Oreochromis niloticus: one gene and its partners. The protein of the gene in region 3 purifies or fractionates together with the protein of the main gene of each other region. This does not show direct contact. Links are inferred from orthologs where the notes say so. Each region holds a gene or a part of one and is shown on either strand. Other genes may lie near its edges.

Evidence for each region. The genes of interacting proteins can lie anywhere in the genome.
Region 1: the proteins of ift57 (region 3) and coro1a purify together in Homo sapiens (affinity purification with mass spectrometry; 3 studies listed by BioGRID and IntAct, counting the BioPlex papers as one, with this or other methods). This does not show direct contact. The link is inferred for Oreochromis niloticus from reciprocal best matches to the Homo sapiens genes IFT57 and CORO1A.
Region 2: the proteins of ift57 (region 3) and ift27 purify together in Homo sapiens (co-immunoprecipitation; 3 studies listed by BioGRID and IntAct, with this or other methods). This does not show direct contact. The link is inferred for Oreochromis niloticus from reciprocal best matches to the Homo sapiens genes IFT57 and IFT27.

The regions. Positions count from the first base shown.
Region 1 is NC_031969.2:29,278,301-29,286,191, reverse strand, and holds the start of coro1a (coronin-1A), read right to left. Parts: upstream 3,018-7,891; 5' UTR 2,867-3,017; intron 1,748-2,866; 5' UTR 1,742-1,747; coding exon 1,544-1,741; intron 161-1,543; coding exon 38-160; intron 1-37. UniProt on the Homo sapiens protein: May be a crucial component of the cytoskeleton of highly motile cells, functioning both in the invagination of large pieces of plasma membrane, as well as in forming protrusions of the plasma membrane involved in cell locomotion.
Region 2 is NC_031971.2:8,801,309-8,809,111, forward strand, and holds the start of ift27 (intraflagellar transport protein 27 homolog), read right to left. Parts: upstream 3,018-7,803; 5' UTR 2,872-3,017; coding exon 2,838-2,871; intron 2,385-2,837; coding exon 2,305-2,384; intron 1-2,304. Other genes in the region: syngr1b (synaptogyrin-1), read left to right, coding at 4,031-4,132. UniProt on the Homo sapiens protein: Small GTPase-like component of the intraflagellar transport (IFT) complex B that promotes the exit of the BBSome complex from cilia via its interaction with ARL6. Not involved in entry of the BBSome complex into cilium. Prevents aggregation of GTP-free ARL6.
Region 3 is NC_031982.2:33,263,382-33,271,273, forward strand, and holds the start of ift57 (intraflagellar transport protein 57 homolog), read right to left. Parts: upstream 3,004-7,892; 5' UTR 2,727-3,003; intron 2,660-2,726; 5' UTR 2,659-2,659; coding exon 2,504-2,658; intron 2,068-2,503; coding exon 1,893-2,067; intron 1,733-1,892; coding exon 1,614-1,732; intron 1,521-1,613; coding exon 1,430-1,520; intron 1,074-1,429; coding exon 1,005-1,073; intron 905-1,004; coding exon 782-904; intron 556-781; coding exon 484-555; intron 172-483; coding exon 40-171; intron 1-39. Other genes in the region: zinc finger and SCAN domain-containing protein 21, read right to left, coding at 5,354-5,865, 6,544-6,930. UniProt on the Homo sapiens protein: Required for the formation of cilia. Plays an indirect role in sonic hedgehog signaling, cilia being required for all activity of the hedgehog pathway.

The DNA of each region.
Region 1 (7,891 bases), on a different chromosome or scaffold from region 3:
CATTAGGAATATTCCGTGTCAGACTTTATTGCCTTACCATGACACTGCAGTCCTCAGAGCCACTGGCAATGATGTTGTCATTATGAGGACAGAACTCGATGTCCAGGACCGGACCCGTGTGGCCACATACAGTGGGGTAGGACATGTCGATACGTCCTGTCTGCAGAGGCAAGCATCAGGATAGGAGGACATTGACTATGACTCATGCATGCAGTGCAGAAAACACTGCAGCTACAAAACGTAAAGAGCAAAGAGCAAATGGAAGAAAAAGAAGACAAAGCTAGATGAGGAGAAGTTTATCAGCTGACACCAATTACACAGCTTTGCCTTCAATGAGCGCTCATTTCTATTAAGTGGGTTAAAAATGAGATCAGGGCCAAGAAGAGGAAACCCAGTCATGAAGCTGTCTGGGAAAAATGACAATTACACATCATTTTTATTTTTATATTTTCCATTATAAGTCAGTCACATTTAGCTCCATGTAGTTGAATTCATTCTGGTAAAACCTTAAAAAAACCACTGGGCCCTAAAGCAGGATGACACAACCATGCCAGCATCACGTTCAAAACAGGATGAGTTTTTTTCCACTACAGCGCAGCTCTGCAATTTTATGCCCACTGGTCCCTGCACTTATTTTTGTCCTTTGAGAATCGCATGCTAGACGCGAGATAAGACCATGAATAATGTGATTTCTGCAGGCTTCACAAAGGTAAATTTAAGATCGTTTAAAATCGCCTTTTTAATACCACAAAGTGGGACAATATAATTGTCAGGTAAAATAAGGACAAGACGTTCAGATTCTTGTCACTTTCATTTCTAATGATATAATTAGTTGCAGGAGATGGTAATTAAGTTTATGCTAGGAGACAGTGATCTCTCTGTAGCTAACTGCAGCAGCAAGCAGCAGTGACATTATTCAGTGAAAAAAGAGTAGACATCTTTCTGAAGTACAGTCTTCACACCACAATCACATAAAAAACACCTGACCTCACTGTAAGCATTTTCAGTGCCTGCACACAACGAACTTCCCAAGCCCGAGTGAACACAAAGGTGATCAGGACAGACACTTCACTGAATTCACAGCCTCTGACAAATTCAGCTGGCCATTAACTCGGCTACAAGGTTTGCAATTTTGCACTTTTTCGGGCACATAAAATGCAATAAACGAGCTGCAAGCCCTAACCTAACGCCCTCTTTAAGTGACTGCACAATAAGTGGGTTGAGGCCACATCCTGTCCTCCTACACTGAGCTGACAACAAACTCCTAATATGGTGAAAACTTCTCAACAGCAGAGCAAGTGACGTGTAGACAGACTCAAAGACAGCATCAAACTTCCTTATTTAGCTGAATGTGTGATGGTGACTGGCAGCATTCAAATTTTAAAGTGCAAGAATGCTGCTAAAACAAAATTTAATCCCCAACCTGCATCTGTAATAGTTAACACACCTAAACATGGTATTAAGAGAAGTATATAAAACAGTATAGAGCCAAACGGTGGGTTTATTTGTGTTCTTTTGTTTCCTGGTGATTCCTGTGACCCACCTTGCTCAGCGGAAGCACCATGAAGGCTCCCCCACCGCTGGCGTCCACAATCATGGCCACAAACTTGGGGTTAACAGAGCAGAAATTGCTGTCCCAGGTCATCTGGGAGATTCGGATGTCATCGTAGCATTGGTCAGCTTTCACAGCCTGGCCAAAGACGTGACGGAACTTGCTGGTCCTCACAACCTTTCTGGACATGGTGAACTGAGAAAGAATGAAAAAAAAGTGCGCAAAGAGGAGAAAATTAATGTGCAAGAAGAGCAAGAAGTCTGTAGCAGAGTTGAGAGAGATTTATTTTATGGGTCATCATAAATCATATTGTTTGTTGGTGCTTTTTGATTTCATGCGGAAATAATCTGACAGACACAAAGCTGATGAAACCGTTGAAAGACTCAACAGAGGAAAGCTAAAAAAGGAAGAAGCAAAAGCTTTCACAACTGCTTCCTCTGTGACTGGTACTCTGGCACTCTATCGCCTTCTCTTTTTAATATGTGTGTATGAAACACAGAAATATTAAATAGCAAGCAAATGTACAAAAAAAACAGCAGAAAGGAAACAAAAAAGTAGGCCTTTTATCATCTAAAGCACATGCAGTGTCCTTAAAAAAGGTACAGAAGCTGCCCGAGCGGCAGTTACACCACATCCTACAAAGAGAGTAACAAAACCACAAACCTTTCTTTCCCTTAGTTCATACAGTCATGCTGTTATTTAATTCCCCGCATGTAGGGCATGCTTTAAATGACATATTTGACGAAGTAAGCTGAAACATATCCAGTAAACGCATGTGTCTGTGTGCGCAATGAGATCAGAACTTCAATCAAAAGCAGCTGCAAAATATACGAACTTTGCATCACGCAGGAACAGATGAAAAGCACTAAATAAGTCTTTCTTTACCTCCATTTGTAGAGTTTACTTCCTGAAATCTGCAGCCGCGCCTAAGCTCAGATTCGGTAGCGTATGACAGTTAGTTTTGCTGCATGTGCATCACAAGACCTCTCGGGCTTCTCTGCAGCTAATTTAATAATCCTTTACAGAGTGAGCCGTAATTTTATCAGGACTCTAAATGCATGTCAGTAATCTGTCTCGACCACTATCTCTCTGTGTTGTGATGGAAAACATTGACCAGTACGAAGTAGGAAACAATTCACTGCCTTGAAATAGGAGAAACTCAAGGCCATGTGGAAGATGAGAAACAAAAATGTGTCACTGAAATTAATGACATACGGTTAGCTTCAGCTATTTCCCTCTTTAACCAATGCACCGATTGCAGGTAAGATGATATCTTCAAGAGGTTGAGACTGCAAAGAGATGATGTGGGCCTACCTGGGAGTCGAGTGGGGGTGATTCAGCTCAAGGAGTTTTGGCAGTGCACCAAACGCCCTGCCACCAGAATGAGAACACGAGAGGAGACTGTAGGTTAAAGTACATGACAAATGACAGGGAGGAAGTGAGAGTTTCAAACAAGGTGGAAGTAGGAGGTGTCGGCTGTGACATGTGCCGTCTGCAACAAGCTGCAGAAACCAAAGTGAAACACAGGGCACTGCATGAGATCTTTTGTAGGATTGAATCATGATAAAAGTGTCTAGCGGTGCAATGCAGAGTTCAATCCACACTTACCAACAACGGCAAACAGATGCAGGCCACTGCTGCTTAGAAGTCACCTGATTATCAGAACCACTTCACTTCCAACAACACAGATAAATGCAGTGTGTCTGAAGAGCTCACAGAGTTTAAGTTAAGAAAAAAACTCAATATTTTCTTCAGTGATGGATGTCAGTGCATGTCTGTTCTTTTTGACTCATGATTTCTGCAGATATTAGAGTTAAATACTCTATAAGAGGCTTCTCATCTGCTGCTATTATTTTATAAGATTTATATAAGGCATCAGACAAATCCTAAGACAGACAAAGAATCCTAAATTTAAATATGTGGGAGCAAGAGCAAAGATGGTGGTAAAAAAAAACAGTTTTTAAGGCCTAATTTTCAGTTTTTAAGCAGTTTCTCGAGTCTAACTGGGGACACCTGCAGTTTACATGCTGATGATTGCAAATGAAATTAAAGTTATTTAGATCATGTTTCAAATAACCTGTCAGAGTCTGAAGACTTGAGACTGGCTTCTTAAAGGACCCTGAATTTCAGGTTAACCCCTAATCTAACCCACTTTATTTACATATCACATTTACAGCAAACTGTTCTCACACCAAACCTAATTAGACTTAAACTGGCAATCAGCTGTTTTTACACATGATGCCACTTTATTAGTCATGATTACTCAGCCTGTGGAAAGGCTTACTCTTACATTATGGGAAATGAGGGATGCTGTAATTTAATAGTTTAACCATTGCAAGAGGTTAGCAAAGAAAGTAGACAGGAGTGCTTGGAGGCTAGGTGTAGTGGAAACTGAGGGGTGGCAAAGGCTTGGTGAGTTGTATCTGAGGCTGGACACTAAGGAAGGAGAAAATGACTTGGTATTGATCGGCTAGGCAGAGAGATCGAGCTGGAAAAGATGTGCAGGGTGATTAAGGAAAGAGATGAAAATGTACTTATGAGTGAAGAGAGAGTTGAGAAGGTGGAAGGAGTATTTTGAGGAGCTGAGTGAAGAAAATGGGAGAGAGGAGGACAGTTAGTGAATCGGGAAGTGCACGAGATTAGAAAAGAGGAAGTCAGGGCAGCCATGAGAAGATGAAGAGTGGAAAGGTGGTTGGTAAAGATGATATACCAGTGGAGATGTCTGGGAGAGAGGGAAGTGGACTTGATAGATTGACAGATTGTTTACCAAAGCCTAGGAGAGTGAGAGGATGTCTGAGGAAGGGAGGAAAAGTGTACTGGTCCTAAAGGGCAGTATAGTCAGGTTTTTTTTGCTTTGAAGAGAGTTGATGGAGAAGTACATAGAAGGTCAAAAGGAGCGTCAGTGCATCTTTGTGGCATATGTTAAGGTGCTAAGAGAGGAACTGTGTTGCTGAATGAGGAAGTCACGAATGACAGAGAAGTATGTGTGGTGCAGGACAGAATTCAAAGTCTGTGTGGGACCGCTGTGAACCCTTTCTTCATTGCAGTGGTGATGGACAGGCTACCAGATGAGGTCATTGAGGAGTCTCCATGATTTATGATGTTTTTAGAGCACATTCTGATCTGTAGCAAAAGTAGGGAGCAGTTGCAAAGGGAGCCTGGAGAGGTGGAGGTATGCTCTGGAGTGAAGAGCAATGAAAGTCAGTAGAGGCAAGGCAGAATATCTGTGTGGATGAAAATGAGACAGGTGCAAAAAGGGAAGATGCATAGGCTGAGCAATTTGTAGGGGCAAGGCTGAGATGGTTTGGACATGTGCAGAGGAGGTGAGTGGATGGTGAACATGGAGCTGCCCAGCTGGAGGGAAAGAGGAAGACCACAGAGAAGAGTCACAGATCTTGTGAAAGAGGGTTGGTGTGACAGAGGTGATTGCTAGAGACAAGGTGAGATGGAGGCACATGATCCCCTGTGGTGACTGCTAAAAGGAGCAGCCAAAGGAGAATCATTTGAATGCATGGGCCTCTAGGTGTGCTCTTTTAAACCTCTTTTAAATCCTTCAACTATAAGGAAATGCAATACTCAAACAGCAGGGAGAACTTTTCAACTCCTAAAATTCTAAACTTTTATTCTATAAGTTTTATTATAAAAGCAAACTCAGTCTAATCCCTGAGTAGCAGAGCTAAAGCACTTCCTGTTTTTTGTTGTTTTGACAGAAAACCTCATGCACACATGTTTTTACACTTGTCCTCACAAGTGTAAAAACATGTGTGCAAATGACACTCACATATCATTTGGTTTAATGCAGCAGAACTAGGACAACTGTATTTCCTTACCAGGGCATGCCTACGTCACATTGGACTATAGTACTTTTTTTTTCTGGGAAAGCCTTGCATACTGCAGCAAGACAATGCAAAACCACATACCACATTTATCACAGCAGCATGGGTTTATAGTAGAAGTGGTTAGTCTGCAGTCCAGGCCTTTGACCAATGGAAAACATTTAGTGTTATGAAACCAAAAATACAACAAAGGAGACCCAGGACTGTTAAGCAGCTACAATTGTCTGTCAGACAAGAATGGGGCAACATTCCTCCCTCAAAAGTCCAACCTCTGGTGTCCTCCTCAGTTCCCAGAGGTTTACAGAGTGTTGTTTAAAGAAGAGAGGATGCTACACAGTAGCAAAAATGGCCCTGTGCAAGCTGTTTCTGAGATATATTGCTGCAAACAAACTCAACATAAACTGATTTATTTCTTAAAATGTATTTCCCTTTGCAAATACCAAAGTCCCCCAAAAAGAATTGATAAAAAATAAATAAATAAAATATAAAATAAGCTTTAATTTCAATGCATGGAATCACCAGTCAAATATAGTAAGACCAGACTTATAGTATTTACCAACTTTGGCCCCAATAAAGATTTTAAAACATTTTATTTACTCTGGAAGTTACACTATAGTACAACAGAGTATTAGGGCCACATTAAGAAAAGTGTCCATTTTGAGATTTAAGATGAAATTTCAAGATTAAACTCAAAATAGTATTTTGAGAAAAAAGTCAAAACGTGAATATTACAGTTGTCATTTCAAGCCAGACAACTGCCACGGCTCCTACAACCCTCTACAAAACCTGTAGATGAGTTAGTGAAACATCTGGACCAGCTGTGATACAGCATACATCCTCTGTACTGGACAAGGGCGTAACCATCGATATCCTTGCCACTGCCAGCCTTTTGTTCAAATCTGCCCAACTCTTCTACTTTTGTGTGTTTTTTCCTTCTAGCCAGATGCAGCTTTATGCACCGTCTTTTCAACATCCTTATACTTATAGCCACAATGTGTTTATGTGCTAAAAGAGAAACTGATTCTGACATGGCTGAATTCATGTGGTTTGTTGAGATGCAACTTTGACTGGCAGCTGTTTGAATGTTTTACATCTGTGAATAATCTGGGGTGTACAGTATACAGTACAGTTAGATATCAGCCTGTGTGTAGGTAATTCAATTAAAATCAGCCAAATCAGAAAAAAGATTCCCACCTGACCCCCTTCTTGTAAATGTTACTTTGAATTGCACCATTTTCACTCACACATTTGTAATTCTTTCAGCAGACAGAATCTCAAACTTAAATCTGACAACCATTTAAAAATGAACATATAAGAATTAATTTTGATACAAGGGGAATCAGAGGGGGGAAAAAAAAATCAGGTTGTTTTGGACGTATCAGAACAAATCCAGGTCTCTGTCACTCTACATCCTAGACAATAAACTGTTCAAACAAATTTAAGGAACGCTTTTTAATCAGAGTATAGAATCAAGTCAGTTGACTTTCTGGGACATTCGGTGCCAGTTTAGCTCTGTGGGTGAGCAGGCGACCCCATGCTGCGTGACCGGGTTTGAGTCCAACCTGTGGCCCTTTGCTGCATGTCTGTCCTCCTCTCTCTCTCCCTGCTTCCAGTCTGTCTTCACTCTTACAATTCAATGAAGGCAAAAATGTCAAAAAGCCCCCGCAGGATCGCTATCTGATGAGCAATGCCAGAGCCTCCAGCAGGCCACTGGTGTGAGGGCTGGCCTGAGGGCTTGACGCCCTCTAGTGGGCTCTGGCAGACATGACAGAGTCCGGAGAATATTATGCAGCCTCTAGCGTCACTCAGCATCACCGGTTTGGTGGTCGACACACAGACCTCTACAGGCTCAGCAGTGATAACCGAGATAACGGGATGAAAGTTTTGAACCCACTGTCAGACTACACTGGTGTAGTGTGTCCTGCAGTTCCTGGAGGATGAAGAAATTGACACCATTGACTGGGCCCCACACTCATCTGACCCAGTTCAATTGAACACTTGTGTGACATTATGTTTTGGTCCATCCAATGTCGCCAGATTGCACCTCAGACTGTCCAGGAGCCCAGCGATGCCCTGGTCCAGCACTTGATGGAGATCCTCCAGGAGAACCACTCTGAAATGCTGCAATGACATTTTGGCTACCTGGACTAGCCTCCCACATAACTTTTCAGTGTCTTTGAATTCATAATTTTCATCTCCATCAAATGACATGGCATCCTTTCGTTCCAGTCATATCGCTGTAGATATCCAGACTTGATTTTGTTTCCCAGTGAGATCTGATGTGTTTTTAATTTTATTGAGCAGTGTACACATCCCGTGATACTGATGCTCAAAGTTGAAAATTGTTCTGAACAAAAAGGAGATCTAAGATTTAGATAGTGACACCTGAAGTGCATCCACCACCTGAAAACTGTCTCTCTCCTATAGTTAGCCGCTGGAAAATATTAAAGGATTAAAAGCATCTATGTTTTTAACACACTGCTCAGGTTGTTAATATGACATA
Region 2 (7,803 bases), on a different chromosome or scaffold from region 3:
TTAATTTGAAAATTCTACAGTTCTTGACTGATTGAGCAAATCTGGAGTAAACGGCTACATGTGATTAACTGTGCACGGTTACTCACTGCTTAACTGCTATGCCTATATCTATAAATACATCTAGAGCCTTCTAAGACCTTAATAGGTCTCAGGAAGGTTAATACTAGCTATCAGAACAAGTGTGCCTACTAAAAAAGCACATTTTGCCAATTACATGCTGATTAGCTGCTGCAGTGTCAGGCAGGACTGAACGCCTGGATTTCTGAGCGCTTCACAGCACACAGATAAGGCTATTCCCTACAAACTACTATCTATTCTGTGCTGGCAGTGAGCCAGCATTGCACTTCATGAGCTGCTCCTTCAAACCCAATTCACCTCACTTACCCAGCCTGAATACAAAAACATAAGCCTGTGGCTAGTCACGGAGTACACCCCGATCTGTAAATCCCTGAACAACTTGTTTTACAGCTCCATTCCTCTGCTGATTGTGTGAATGGAGTACAACACATCCCTACTTACTGTTATAAGACATGTTATGCTGCCTACCCCACATACACTGCAGTATGTCTGGCAGTGAGCTCGCTTTCTCTGTGTTATGTGACAGTGCTACACCAGGGGGCAGTTTCTCAGATGTGGACGGCTGCAGATGTCACAGACAAGTAGTCATTCTATTATACTTTGTTCGAGCCTGCTTGAAGTCCACGTGAAGGACATATCCATAGCTGGTACATTGGTGCAAAAACTGAAAGGCATGCTGACATCTGCTCTGAGCCTCACATTCACCCTTTCACAACAAAATTAGTCAATCGGACCAAGTGTATACTTAAACACACAAAGTATAGCAGCTCCTCTATATGAACCAGGAAGGCCAAACCCATTTTACATTGCCACATTCAACTAATTCTGATCTTCAGTGAGCCAAACCAGAAAAAAAAATCCTTTCTGTCTGTGTAAAGAATTATAACTACACATTTAAGCCCCAAGAAATCTTAATATAAAAAAGAAGAGCAATTTCAACATTATGTCTCAGTTTTTCTATGTGATAAAGACCAAAAAAAGTCAACAGTCAATAGTGAAAAACTGAAACTTTTCTGTAATTTAACTGTTTATCTGTTACTTATTTACTTATACTAATTAAGTAAGTAAGTAAATGGTATAGGTGTAGTATGAATGGCCACAGGGGAAGTCTTTATCAGCAGGGAAAGCTTAAAACCTATTAAATTTATGCCTTATTTCAAATTTTTCAAAGCCATCTAGTGGGCCAGTTTAGAATCTTTTCCAGGCTGATTTTGGCCCCTGGAGTCTTATGTTGACACCCCTAATTTAAACTATCTAAAGATAAACCAACCTTCATATACACGTGTCTGTACACGTGTATAGCACCAAGTGTTGATTCCCACTGGTACAGACTGGTGTCACTGATTGCTACCATGGTAACATCAATAAAGCTTTTGCCAGGTGACAAAAATGATGTCAAACTGACGTCACATCTACTTGGCCACGATACCACTTGAGTGTCGCTCCGGCCGGCCAAGTACCTTTTGATTTTGGAACCTGGGGCATTGCAGGCAATCCAACCAATGCAGGTTGATGATATGAGTGCCGTTTTTTTTTCTGCCATTTTAATGATATATCAGTACATGAGCTCGGAGATCCACAGATTATACAGAGGGAAATATTGCAAAAAAAAGAAAAAGAAAAAAAAAACAAGGAAAAAGAGGAATATGCTTTTATAACTTCTATGCTTCTGGTTTTGACTTCTGTACCAGTGACAATATGGAAATTTTGTCTGAGTGGCAACATCTATCGTTCAGGAGAAACTTTATAAACTGAATGAAATGACCAATGAGCAGAACAAAAGACTGTCCTAACCCTACAGATTAGTCTAAAGCAATGATGTCAAACTCATTTTATACCGCTGACCACACACACCACACGTTGATCTCACGTGGGCCTAACAAGCGAAACTTTCTGTCATTGTAAAGATGTTTAACTACAAATGATCACATAGAGATCTGTGTTAGCTCAACAAACTGTCCTGTATTTACAAAACACATTTTTTTTATTCACAGTAAATGTTGATTTTGTTACATATTTCTATAGATGGTGGAAAAAACAGGCACTTTTCTATCATTCAGTTGTTTATCTTCTAGTTAATTCCTTTTGTTTTGCATTAATAGGAAAAGCTGTAAAACTTATGAAAGGAGGGCCTTATTTTGGACACATCGGATCTAAAGTAGGAAGACTCACTTCACTCATGGAATCAAACCATGAGCCTTTTAGTGACTGTGTTAATGCTCTCACCATGCTGTAATTCTTCTGGAAGAGAGTGCCATCGCTGTAGAACATATGAGAAAGAGCACTTTTGCCCACTGCAGCATCTCCTACAGACACACAGACACAGGGAAGAATACAAATATGACAGCCTGTGGTTGTGTTTACGATGTAGTTTTTGTGAATTAATAATTAATAGTTTAATTTGTGTTTAAGGAGTTCGTTCTCGACAGAATTCATAATTAACCCCCCTCATTATCAGGGAGTTTTAGAGTTTAGTGTCTGGTTCACCATCAATTCTGTGAGTTGAAACATCATCACTCGGCAGTGATTGGTTTGTGTAAGCTAAATGACTGTAGCTACATGATAAAAGAGACCCAACAAACATAATCTTTTATATATGAAATAGTATCAGGCTTGTATTTGTCGTCAGTCCTATAACAAGTAGGTTGAATCTGAAACATAAGAAGGACACGGCCTGTGGCTGGGGATGTTTCTGTAGTAAAAGGCTAGCTTTAGCCCCCGTTCCTTATTTATCAAGTGGGCCGCTTTGAAAACCTTACCGACCAGCAGACATCTCGCCCTTAACTTGACCATTACATGGGATGACTTCCGGTCTCTGTCAGGTAAAACTCTCTTGAAGCTAATCGAGCTATGTTTCGCTGTTTATCGGTCCATATGCGATGGACTATCCTTCTTGCAGCCTCGGGAACATGGACACAAAGCGTCTCTTAGCAACCAGCCACGGGGCTGTTTCATTGGTCCAGCCGTCGAGGACGTAATCGCGTAGTCGTGTTTTCATTGGTTTTCTGTGAGGACGTAAAGGAAGCAAAAGGCTACTTTTGCAGAGTCTGTTAGACAGAACTTACTGAAACAGTGTACAAACGTAAATATCAGTGTGCACAACCATTTATAACACCAATAAGCCGACTTGACTAAATATTAATGGGGCTTGTTTAAGAACAGAGCAATATCACGTATAAAGCCTGAAGGAGAAAACAACCATGAGGTCCTTGCATATTCAGGCAATATACGGTAAGACCGCTAGAGGGCGGAATTTATTGCACCTACCCACGGCACCATCAATCAGGGAGTTCAACGTTGTTGGGTGGTGGTACTGTTATACTGTCGTTTATTCATGTAGAAGCATTCTAGTGTTTTAATAAGTGCCTTCACACAAAATAACCCTTTACCAATATTTATTTTCAGCTCACATACTTTATCATATATGATATGATATATATGATTAAGTTAATATCATGTTCTGGTTTAATGGTTTAATCACTGTTTTTCCGCCCACCATCGGTAAACGAAGAGCGCGTGACTCTCTGTAGTGGTCCTGAGTACGTCGCTGTTTTTCTTTCTTTCTGTTTTTTTTACTCGGGGTGTTTTGACGAGGAGCGCTCCGTCCGAGGCGTGACAACGGAGGCGCGTTCACGGGGTCGCCACCGGCTTCTGCGCTGAACTAAAGGGAGAAAGCATCACTATCTAGCACCATCACAAAGCTTTCTTTACCCAAACACTCAACGGAGACAAATTAGAGGTTACATTTAAAACCAACAGCACGAGAGAACAGGGCGCCAAAGGAGACCGGGGGTGGGGGGAGACGCGCATCCCAGCCGTGCAGATTCAGCGGTAGTACAGTAGTGGTGATAGGGAGCAGTTTCGGGGATTTTCCGTTTCGGTTACCCGGTGCTCCACACACCCTGTGCCTTTGAGCCAGCAGCGGGGAGGGAGAGAGAGGAGGAGGAGGACCATGGAGGGGATGCAGGCATACGGAGCCGGGAAAGCCGGAGGAGCCTTCGACCCCGTCACCTTCCTCCAGCAGCCTCAGACCATTCTCCGCATAGTGTCTTGGGTGAGTTGGAGATATAAAAACGAAAAATAACTTTGTTCTTGGATACACAGTTAGCTACAGAGGCCACCACTTTTTTAAATCATTCATATATGTTGTCAAATATTGGTTTGAATTAGCCAACCGAGGGCCCACACAGGCTTCGTTTCAGAGAGGAGCTCCTATAGATACTGAAGGCAGCTGTAACATGCTTTGTGGTGTTTTGTTCTTTTAACTTTTGTTTTCACTTGTGTGTTTGGTGCTATTACCTGATCTCACTAATAATATTCTCCTCACGCAGTGGGTTGATGGGTTGATTGAACAGAGTCCCGATCGCTGTGTACAAAATCCACCTTCTACAGATACAGTGACCAGATGATGTTTTCTCATGAGCACAGTGAGAACACGCAGTCACACATTTGTTGAATTTCATAGCAAATAATTTCATAATAACTGACCACCCTCCGTGCTCTGAGGAGGAGGAGGAGCACTAATGAAAAAGGAGTAGCAACAGTAGGAGAACACTTTTGACAAGCATAGTAAACAGATGGCAACAGAAGTGCTCCCCAAAGTGTTGGCTCCACGCTGAGTTTTAAGGAAATAACAGCTGAAATGTATGAAACCAGAGGTTTATTTATTAATATAATTAATCATTAAGGAAAATGTGCTCGGTATAAACTGAATGTATAACAATCAAGTTCATTTCATTTGACCAGACCATTGTTTTACATTGTACTTATGTAAGAAAATTACATGGAAAATTTACATGTATTTAAATGAGTTAAAGTCAGGATTTTGGGCAGATTTTCTTCTTTTTAGCGCACTACCAGGTGGTATTTTATAAGATTTTTGTTTTGGGTGTCTAGTGTTTAACCCGCAGCTGTATCTTTTGTGTCTTGTAGTGTTTTAAGAGGAGGAAAATGCATGCACTATGTGGTGTTTTCATTAGAACGCATCAAGGAAGTTCTCTTAAATTGTTGTACTTTAAGAAAGACAGGAAGTAAATATACTGCGTCCATTCATAGACTGCGTCAGGTGATGAATATCTGACGGAGATTTATACATTACATTGTTACAGTTCATTTTTTTAAATGAACATTTGGTAATGTGCAGCAATTAGGAATTGCCCTTATTATCATTATTTTTAACATATTTGGACAATAAGTTAACACATAGACAGTGTTGTTTTAGATTTTGAACTATACAACTGATTTTTGACTACAGTGCAGTCTGTTACAAAGAGCATATTATTATTTGTTTTAATAATAATTCTTTTATTTCACCTTGTTTTATGGAAAAACAGGAAAAGATGTGGAAATGTGTACTTGAACATCTTTTAATAAGAAAAATGACTTGTAGTTTTTGTATCTGGTGTTCATTCAGATTATCTTACGTGTGACTAAAGGCACTTCCTGACCACAGTTGTTGGGATTACCTGAAGGTAACAACCTACTGGGAGAACATCTTACCTTTAGTTATTATTTCTTTTATATTTACATCAGTAAGAATGCTTATGTGATGTATTAGCCGGCTAGAAGTTGTGTGCTGGCAACAAGTTGGCTACAGCCACAACAAAAGGTTGTAGGAAGACATGATTGGAGTTTTGGGATTTTGTCCGTGTATGTAAGTAGCTGAATTGGTGGTGGTGTTGCTAAAATAGTAGTTTATGTCTGTTAAGCTGTGTTATCCTTGGCATCATTCTTTTGTAGACTCAACTAAAGAAATGGGAACATATTTTGTGTTTTGCCAAAAAATACAATTTAAAATGTTTTTTTCCCTCAGTTGTCTGTTATGTGTAGACACTGTGCTGATTCACAGGTCAGTGATAATTGGCTTAACAAACACAAGAAACATTCCTCTGAAAATAAGTGAAAAAGCAGCCAATGTGCAATGAAAAACTGTGAAGACTCAGAAAGTCTGGAGCACCATTGTTCAAGAGCGCTTTAAAATATCACAAGAAAGTGTAGCTGCTTGGAAACAAAATAAGAAGAAATGAGAGGTGCCTCAAAACTTTTGTACAGCAATGTTACCCAATGTTACAAGGGACTATTTTCTCTAAATGTGTTCTGGTAGCCAATAAGCCCAGGCGGTAAAAGCCTGATCTGATCTTTTACTTTCTTCTAACTCTTTTTCAGTGTCTTCATCTCTATACTTTCACTGTACTGATTTTCTCTGTGTTGAGGCACCAGTTGGTTAAGAGGAAACACTTGCAAAGATTTTATAGTGTTCAAAAGTTAAAATTTCATTGTGTTTCCTTTGTAGCATAAAGTCCGAACTTTAGCATCTTTCAGGTTCTCAAAGTTTAGTTTCATCTTAAGAGCCACTGGTTGTTTGCAGAACTAAAATGTAAGCAGTCACATAATGTCAGTTACCAGCGTTGCATCAGTACATAATGCTTATAACTATATAAACCTATATAAGGTAAGGTTTGTATTGTACTGTACAGTCCTGACTAGGGCTGTGCGATATGACCAAAATCTCATATCCCGATATTAAAACATCTATCGTCGATATAACGATATAAATTACAAAAATGTAACAGTTCCTGTAAATTCTGTGAATGTCGGGCATCTCGACTTGCGTGAAGTGTTTCCAGCTGGGCGTCGCGTACCTGGAGTCGAGTGTTTTAACTGATGCATGAAACGATATATTTTTAGAAGTAAGTTGTAACGGCCGCCGTTTTCTTTGTGAGTATTTATTACACGGCGTGCTGCGGGGAAAAGCCTGTTCTAACGTTTGAGTCTAAGGTTTATTTTTTAGCACCTGGCGGCTCTTTTTTGCTTCTCATCCGTTAATACTCTGCATCTTTCACGTGACTCGTTTTATTTTGAAAAGCCTCAACAGGATCTTGAGCTTTATTGTGAAAGGTTTATGTGGAAAATAAACAAGCGGACACGCCGTGGTTTTACCGTCGTTGTTGCTAACGAAAACGCATAAAAAACAAGCGCTTGTCCTTCCATAGTGTGGTTATATTAAATATAAGAGAAAGAGAGAACTTTAGGAAATTAATATAGCCACTACAGTGACCATCAAAATGATGAAAAAATATTGCCGTAAACAGTTTATTTTGCGACACCACGAAACAAACGATAGCGTAAAATGAAACGATAGACGTTTTTCTATCGTCATCCGATATATATCGTTATATCGAACAGCCCTAGTCCTGACACTAAAGTGGGAGCTGAGGTGTTCTTCTTTTAAAAATTATAAATGCTTTAAAAAGCTTCTGTGGCCTGAAAGTGCCATAAACTTAAAAAGTTATACTTAAAATTATAATTAGAAATACAAAGAAAATGCATGGTTTGTGGTAAAAATAAATAAGAGTTTATTAATCTGTTAGCCTTAAATAACAAAGCCAATGGCAAGTGATGTGATGTGTCAGTAAATCATGGATTTAATCGTTGTAATGCTTAGTTGTGAGCTCATATCTTTGGCTGTATACGAGGTATACTAATATGATGTATATTATTTATATTAGTAAACCTGGCAGTTTTCTGAACATATGACACATGTTGTGCTGTAAATTTGTCTGTATGCAGGAATATTTTTCAGTCACGTAGGGAAAGCATATTTTAATATGGCACAATTTGATCACTGCTATTTCACCTTTTTTTAGAGTTTTAGGGTTTTATGTTGAAAGTATATGGCACAACTCAGTAGATATTTGTAGTTATAAAATCTCTATTTATTATCTA
Region 3 (7,892 bases):
TGACGTGAACGAATCAGGAACGTTCAATTCTGGGTTCACCTTGCTGAGTTTGGCCTGGGCGCTGCGGTACTCCTGGATCAGATGCTCCAGCTGGTTGTTGATGTACTTCTCTCTGCTGCTCACCTTCTCCAGCGTCTTCCCGATGTCCTCCTGCAGCTTGTCCAGGTGGCTCTGCAAAGACGACGAAGAATGACATCATGTTAGTTTCACTCCATGAATTTATTTCGTTTTCATCTTTCTCCAGAGTTATTGAAACAGTCCTCAGGACGTTTGTCTCTGTGGTTAACAGGAGATCCGCTGAACATGGAAACATCTGTTTCTTCTGCTTGTTTGTTTTTAGTTTATTTAATTAAATCTGGTTGATCAATAATATTCTGTATGTGTGACTGAAATAAAATAATACTTCTTGTTTGTCCCGTCCAATGACAGTGAGAGGCTGCAGGGAGGACATAACATGATGATGAAGCGGGTCAGTGAACGCACCTTGGCCTCCTTGAGTGAGGACTGGATCCCGTCTCTGTGCTGGTGCATCTGGTCCACGTGGACCCTCCAGTCCTGCAGGACCAACACAGACCAGAGATTGAGAGCCACTAACACTGACAGCCAACCAGAGAGCATGCTGGGAAACTGCAGGTAACCTTCAAAGCTTTCAGTCATTCATACAGAAACAAAAGCTTTTTACAATCACTCTGGACGAGTGTGTGAAGCTCCGGCAGAGTGAAGCTTCTTTCACTTCATCTCACATCTGGCGGCGGCTCCGACACCTCAGGTGAGCGCCTACCTTGTTGTCGGTCCTGATGGTGACTTTGAGTTGCGGCAGGACACGCTCCACCTCCAGGTTCCACTCTGTCGCATCGACCGTCGACTCTAGGATCTCGTCGGGTTTGGAGGACATCTCAGCTTCCTGCCAGAAAACAGACGCCATGGCGATTTCAAAACTCGGCGCGAACGTGAGAGCGTAAAAGTGGAAATTATGATGTAATCTTATTCGGAGGTGATCTCACCGTGTGAGTGCTTCGTAACTTCAGAGCCTCCAGGTCCATCACGTTCTCCTCCTCCTCGTCCCCTTCGTCCTGGTCACACACAAAAAAATCATGAGACGTGAAGATGATTCATGGTTGGACCCGCGCAGCGCTGAGCATTAAAAACACCCAAAACACGGTCATGGCAATATATTCGATTATGATTTCTGCTCTAAAGTGTGATGGACTTTATAAAATGAGGGAAATATTTTGTAATAAAATACATGAAATTGTTTTTAAAATAAAAGTGTGAGGATGTTTTATTTTGAAATCTGTCCCCTGATTTCCTCTCAGTGTTTGGTGATCTCTGACAGAGGTGCAGGAAACCACCGCAGTAAAAACAGATTCATCCTGTAAGTGTGCCGAACGGAAAAGAAGAGGAAGTTAGACGAATGTGGAACACCTACGATCAGCTCCTCCTCCACTTTGCTGAGAGTGAGCTCGGCGTCATCCTCCACCACAGACTCTTCTTCTGTGTTTTCTGATGGGTAGTTTGTCCTGTAACAGAGACAGAAAGAAGTAAAAAAAAACTTCTATAAACACAGAAGCAACAAAAGCAGCCTGACAAAAAGAAGAAAACAGATGGCATACTTCCTGAAGGTGAAGCCTCTCCTCCTCAGCGCCTCCTCAGCCAGTCGGTCCAGCACGAAGCAGACGTACTCGCCTGAGCCCGACTTCAGTTTGGAGGGTGGGAAGTCCACCTTAACACCCTGAAAAACAGAGGAGTCGTCGATAAAGCATCAAACTCTTCTTGTTTAACAGAAGCTCCCGCCTTCGCATGATCGGTCAGATTTATCAAAGCACAATCAAACTAACTCCAGCCATATCAAAGCTCATTTCCAGCTTCTAAACTCTTTCTGTGTGACTCACAAAGGCCCGCAGTTCTGCCAGGATGTTGGACACGGTGGCGTTGGGCTCGTCATACTCCTGCGGCTCGGTAAACGGCCTCCCCGCCACATTGATGAGCCACGCTGCGATGATGGTGAACATGTAGAACTGCTCGCCGGGGTTAGACGCCAGGTATGGACTGGAGACAAAGTAATGCCTGCACGGAGAAAGCAGAGGGGACTGAAGGGTTTTCCTTCACTGTGCACACTCGAAAACATCAAAACGGCACAAACACTGGAAACAAGCCTGGATTTCATTTTATTTTTATGCAATACTTTGTCTGAGTTGATCGATCAGAGGTGAGGGTTGTAGGCGGCTCTCTCTCCACCACAACGGTCCAGTACAATGCCAAGGCCACACAAACCCTCCACATCATACCTGAACTCCATCACTCTCCTCCAACCAGAGGGATGAATGAACTTCACAACACAATCACTTATCTTTAGGACGTGTCTGTGTTTTTATTGTGTCTCATTATATTTTTCTAAATGTCTGAGAAGGAAAACTACTGAGTTACACACTTCGATTGTTTTTTTCTGGTTCTAAATCCTAAAAAGGACACCGTACTTACATCCGAACTATGCGCTTCTCACCTGGACAGGTTCTTCATGTTGTGTTTGCTCAGAACCTCCTCCTCATAGTTGAGTACATTCAGCTTCTCCAGCAGGCTCTCCATCACTACGACCCCCCGATAAGCCGCTCCGGGCCCTCGGTCCTCCTCGTCGCCGCGTCTGCCGTCCTCCGCCATCCTGCAAGTTTGACGTTTGCGTGGAAAATGTAAAAACCTAGAACCTTTAACAGATTAGCACTGCTAACCTGCTAGCGGTGTTTGTTTGGCTTCTGTTGTCAGGCAACCGAAAGCTAACCAGCTAAGCGGCTAGCTGACGTTAGCAGATAGCGACTGCGGCATAACATTTTAAACACTGGTCTGAAGTCAGTCATTGGTCACATTTCTTTTATAAGCTGTATCAATATTCACAGTCTGGAAAAAAGCTGTATAAAATGACAGTCTGAATCCTCTCAGTGTCCCGTTAGATGCTGCCGTTAGCTTAGCTGTCTTCTTTGTGTCGGCTGGAAAACATCGCAACAGCGACCTCCACAGGCTGGAGTGTGTGCTTAAAAACGGTATTTCCAGTATTCAAAGATTAAAAGCTCCCCCCAAACTGAATATATATATATAAATATGTATGTGTGTGTGTGTGTGTGTGTGTATACATACAGATATATAAATTTGGTGATTTTGTCCTATCCTGTGTGGCAGCTTTTGCAACCAGATTTATGATCTGAATGTTCTGTGGTGCCAAACACATTTTCCAAAACCACCTCTATAAATTCTCTACAGGCTCCTCTTGTTCATGTATATCTTTCATCTGTTTCTTTGTTAATTCCTATTTGTGTTATTTCAGTTATTATATTGTATGTGGTGTCAGTGGCGGTCCTAGCCTGTTTGGCGCCCTGGGCGAACACTCCCTCCCCCCCCCCCCCCCCACACACACATATTAAGGATCATACATTAACATAAAACTGTTGTCCACACACACATATGAAGAGAGACAGAGTATGCATAGTATGCAAACGGCTACCAAACAGCCATCATAATTCTTCATACAATGAGAACAGGACAAATCAACAACTGACAATGACTAATTAATATTAAAATCTGTAACATAATGTATTGTTTGGAGTTTAATCTGTTAGTGTTGCTATCTTTACAATTTCTTCTTGGAGCAACTGTAACCCACATTATTTCCTTAGTAAAGTATTAATAAAGTATTCTGATTCTGACTGTTTCAGGATGACCTGCCGTTATCCAATGACACATCTGCTTACCTGTATCTTTTGCTCGTTTCTCCTCCTCTTCTTTTCTGTTTTTTCTAAACTGAGCACCTGATGGCTTTGAACTTTTCTTGTCCATCTTCCATTGGTTTTAATTTTGCACTCCAGTATGAACACCCATCCCTCAACCCAAGGATCACCACAACATAACCTAACAGACCTACACCTTAGTTCACAGATTCACTTTGTCTAGGGTGCATTTCTGAGATTTCACACAACCCAGGATTCAAATCATGAATACATGATAGACGCATAATAGAAGCAGCCGGGGCTCCTCCCCTTTCGACTGGTTGTGTGTGAGACTTTAAATCATCAAACTGTAAATTTTGAATTGTCATTGATCCCTTTACCCCGAGTCCTAAAGTGTATATTTATTGTTTGTTTCCTTGCACTGCTGTAACTGGAGCCTCGTCGTCTCGTCTCTCTATATACTGGACTGTATGTAGCGGAGATGACAATAAAGTTTACTTTGACTTCAGCAGCGAGCAGGCGCACCGAGGGCTCTCGCGCTCACTTTTCGTGTATAGAATTTTGAAAAAACATCGGTGCAAATTATAAGTCTGTATCATGATGTCTGGTGTTTTCATGTTTGTTATTTTGTTTTATTTTGCTAGTTGGTTATTAGATGCCGCTCCAGTCAGCCAGAGAATCCCCCGCCGCCCCGCCCTCTCCTCTCTGCGCCGCAAGCATCAGGCGCACCTCGCAAACGGAGGGCGCCCTTACTCCCAGCAAATGGGCGATAGAAAACCGATCGATGCCTGTGCCATTCCCAATATGCGCTGGCTGCCGTAGGGGCAGCATGAGTACGAGCGTTTTTTTTCTTTTTTGCCGATGCCCGTGATGCCGCCCCCATCACGATGCCGCCCCGGGCAACCGCCCGTGTCGCCCGTATCTAAAACCGCTACTGTGTGGTGTACAGTATGACAGCGTCTAAGGCAGGATGGGAGTAGGATAGGACATGTAATAAAAGGATAGAAATGCACCAACTGCTGCACCTGGAACACAAAAAAGAGAAACTACGCAGGTACATAAATCATCAATCTTCCCGTACTGTGTGAGAGACAGAGAGTGAGTGAGAGTGTGTGTGTCTTTGTCACAAATGTACTTGATAATGAGGGTGGGAAACTGCAATAACACCCCAGGAACCAGAGGCAGACAGAGATCGATCCGAGCCCCCAAGCGTACCAAAGACCTGAGGCCACACATCTCAGTGACATCCGCCTATCCCAGCAGGAGGAGGAGGGAGGGAGGCCCCTAATGGGGTGCCAAAGGGTGAGAGAGCCCCCACTAGAGTCCAGCCATGAGTCGAGAACAGGGTCCCAGGGCTCCACCCAGGTACCGGGCACCTGTGCAGTTCTTGGGCATATCATTAATTTACCTCGTAAAATTAATAATATGTATTATTCATGAGTCAGATGTGAAATTTCACAGCCTAGAAATGACTATGCAGCCTCACACAGAACAAAAACGAGATTTTATTGAACCATCTCACATGTGAACCTGTACAAATTCGTACTTTTTACCATCAAGCCTCGTTTCAGGGGCACAGTTTTCCAGCAGACGTTTCAGGCCTTTGTCTTATTACCTGTGTGACGTTGCATGTGAAGTTATTTCCTGTTTGTACCTTTTCCCACAGGTGTTACAGACGTGCTTCTGATCAGCTGTGTCTTCACGTGCCTTTTTAAAGACCTCAAGCCTCTAGATTTTCTCCCACAGCTGTGACGAGTGTACGGCTTCTCCCCTGTGTGACTGGCGTTATGCCTTTTAAATGAGGACACGGTTTTCAGTGTTTTTCCACAGGTGTTGCAGAGATACAGCTTCTCACCTGTGAAGGTTTTGGTTTTCAGAGCCAAATCAGAATCTGCGCTGACTTTAACAGGGGCTGTGTTAGGCTGCTCATGGGCAGGAGGACCCAAACATGGCTGAACTGTAACAGCGTCAGTCTCCTCGTTCTGTACGAGTTGCTCTCCCTGGTGACTGAGGCCGACTGCTACCTGCTCCCCTGTAATCTGCGGAGGCTCTGGGTCCTCCTGGTCTGGGCTGAAGTTCCGATCCTGGTTTAAGACCTGCTGGTCTGTAGGAACCTCCTTGTGATCACAGACATGCTGCTGTGGAAAATCTGCAGGAACAAACCACAGGTTACTAATGAGATGACGGAAAACTTCTTATGAGCAGGTATACTGTAACAGGGTCTGAGACGATGATGGCCTCGAGGCCACTAAGTAAATATGTCAGGTAACTTGTTAGGCAGCTGCTGGGCTGCTAACGTGTTTCCACCAATTATGTTTATGATTCAGCACGTGAAGCAAACAGGCTGAAGAGGAAAAAGTCAGTCATGCAGAATTCAACAGCGCAAGCGTTTCACTCATATTTGAGATTAAAACTAGACGTATGCATTTATAACCTTCACACCACCAGCAGCCTGACCCACTGATACAAGGCAGGATGGATCCATGCTTTCATGTTGCTTACGCAGAACTCTGACTCAGAATAAGACGTGGTGTTTAACTCTCACCATTATGACTAAAAATAATGTGGTTTTTTTTTAGAATTAGTAGAAACAAACAAGTATTTGTGTGGACGCAGAAGTACAAATTACAGAGTCTAGCCCGTTGTTGGCTTTCCTGATGGTAAAGAGGTCGGTTGGTGTTCTAATAATCAGATAGATACATTTTATTTCAAACTTAACCCTAAAAAGTCTGATGCTGTTAGCTCTCAGAGTTAGCTGTGTTAGCCCTGTTAGTCTATCTGACTTACATCTATGTGTATGTTTTTTTGTGGTGTTAAAAAGACGCACCTATCCTGTAGAGCTTCACCACGGGGTTCCAGGTGCTGTCCAGATGGTTGAGTTCTACCTCATTGTCAGCGCTCTTATTAGTAACTTCTAATGTTTCTTTGGATGTGGAATTAACAAACGTGCAAATATCAGAACTGTTAGAGAGGGGCCGGTCACTTTCTGGTTGTGGTTCACTTTCTTCACAAGTTGGTGCCATCATAACGGCATCATTCTCCTGCTTCAGTGCAAACTGCCCTCCTTCCTGATTGATGCAGACTTCCTTTTCTTCCACTTTAATCTGTGGAGCCTTCGGGTCCTCCTGGCCCCTACTGGAGTTCCTCTCCTGGTCACAGACCTGCTGGTCTGTGAAAAACTCAGTCTGAACACCGATGTGCTGCTGTGCAAGATCTGCTGGGACAAAGAAACAGAAAAACAGGTTACTAATGTAAGGGCAGAAAAACATCTACTGTACATGACATAACTGATGGTGCAGGGCCGGTGTGTGGTGCCTAAAAATGCCCTCTTGGTCTTAAAAGGCCTAAACTCTGCCAAGAAAATATCTCCTATATCATCAAACCACCACCTGGTGTGCTTTTCTGCTGCTGTAGTTCATCTCAATTAAGGTCCAGATTTTATTAAGAGATGCAGATCTGAAGTTCTGAAACAGTCAGACCATCCAGGTCTCTGCCTCATGCTAATAGTATCACTGTTTGAACTTCAGCAGGTCATTTCTTCCATGCCTAAGTGCACTGTCTAGATATTTGTGCTACCAAGTAGTTAACAAAGCCAGCACACACGTAGAGACGTGGCTGGCCCCAACGGATCCACAGTATTAACTGCAGATACACTAATTACTAATTAATGAATGGATCACCAATATTTAGTTATGAAACAGTAAGTAACGGTTATTAACAAAGTGCTTTTCACAGACACGTAGTCACAAATGCTGCACAACACAATAATTAAAAACAACGAAGAATACAGTTAACAGGAATGCAAAACCAAGTTAGGAAGGAGTCAAAGAAAACAGATAACCATCAATATCAATGAGAAGCTCGCTAAAACCTCGCTAAACAAAAAGACTTTTAACTGATTCCATGTGGAGATTCTTCCAGAGCTGTGGTCCTAGAGCCTGGAGAAAGGCTCCGACTCAAAGGAGGAACAAAGACTGTGAGCAGCATCGTGTTTCATAAGAAAGTGAGATAAACAGTCGGAAGCTTGTTCATGTAGTGCTGTAAATGTAAATACAAGAATTTCTGGAGATTTCTGGAGAATCTGCAGTGGGATCGTTGCTGGTGCTGGACATGGTCTGTAGCTTGCTGCTGAAAGATTGGAGATAAACAGGTTGGGTTCAAAAGTTGAAAGAAGAT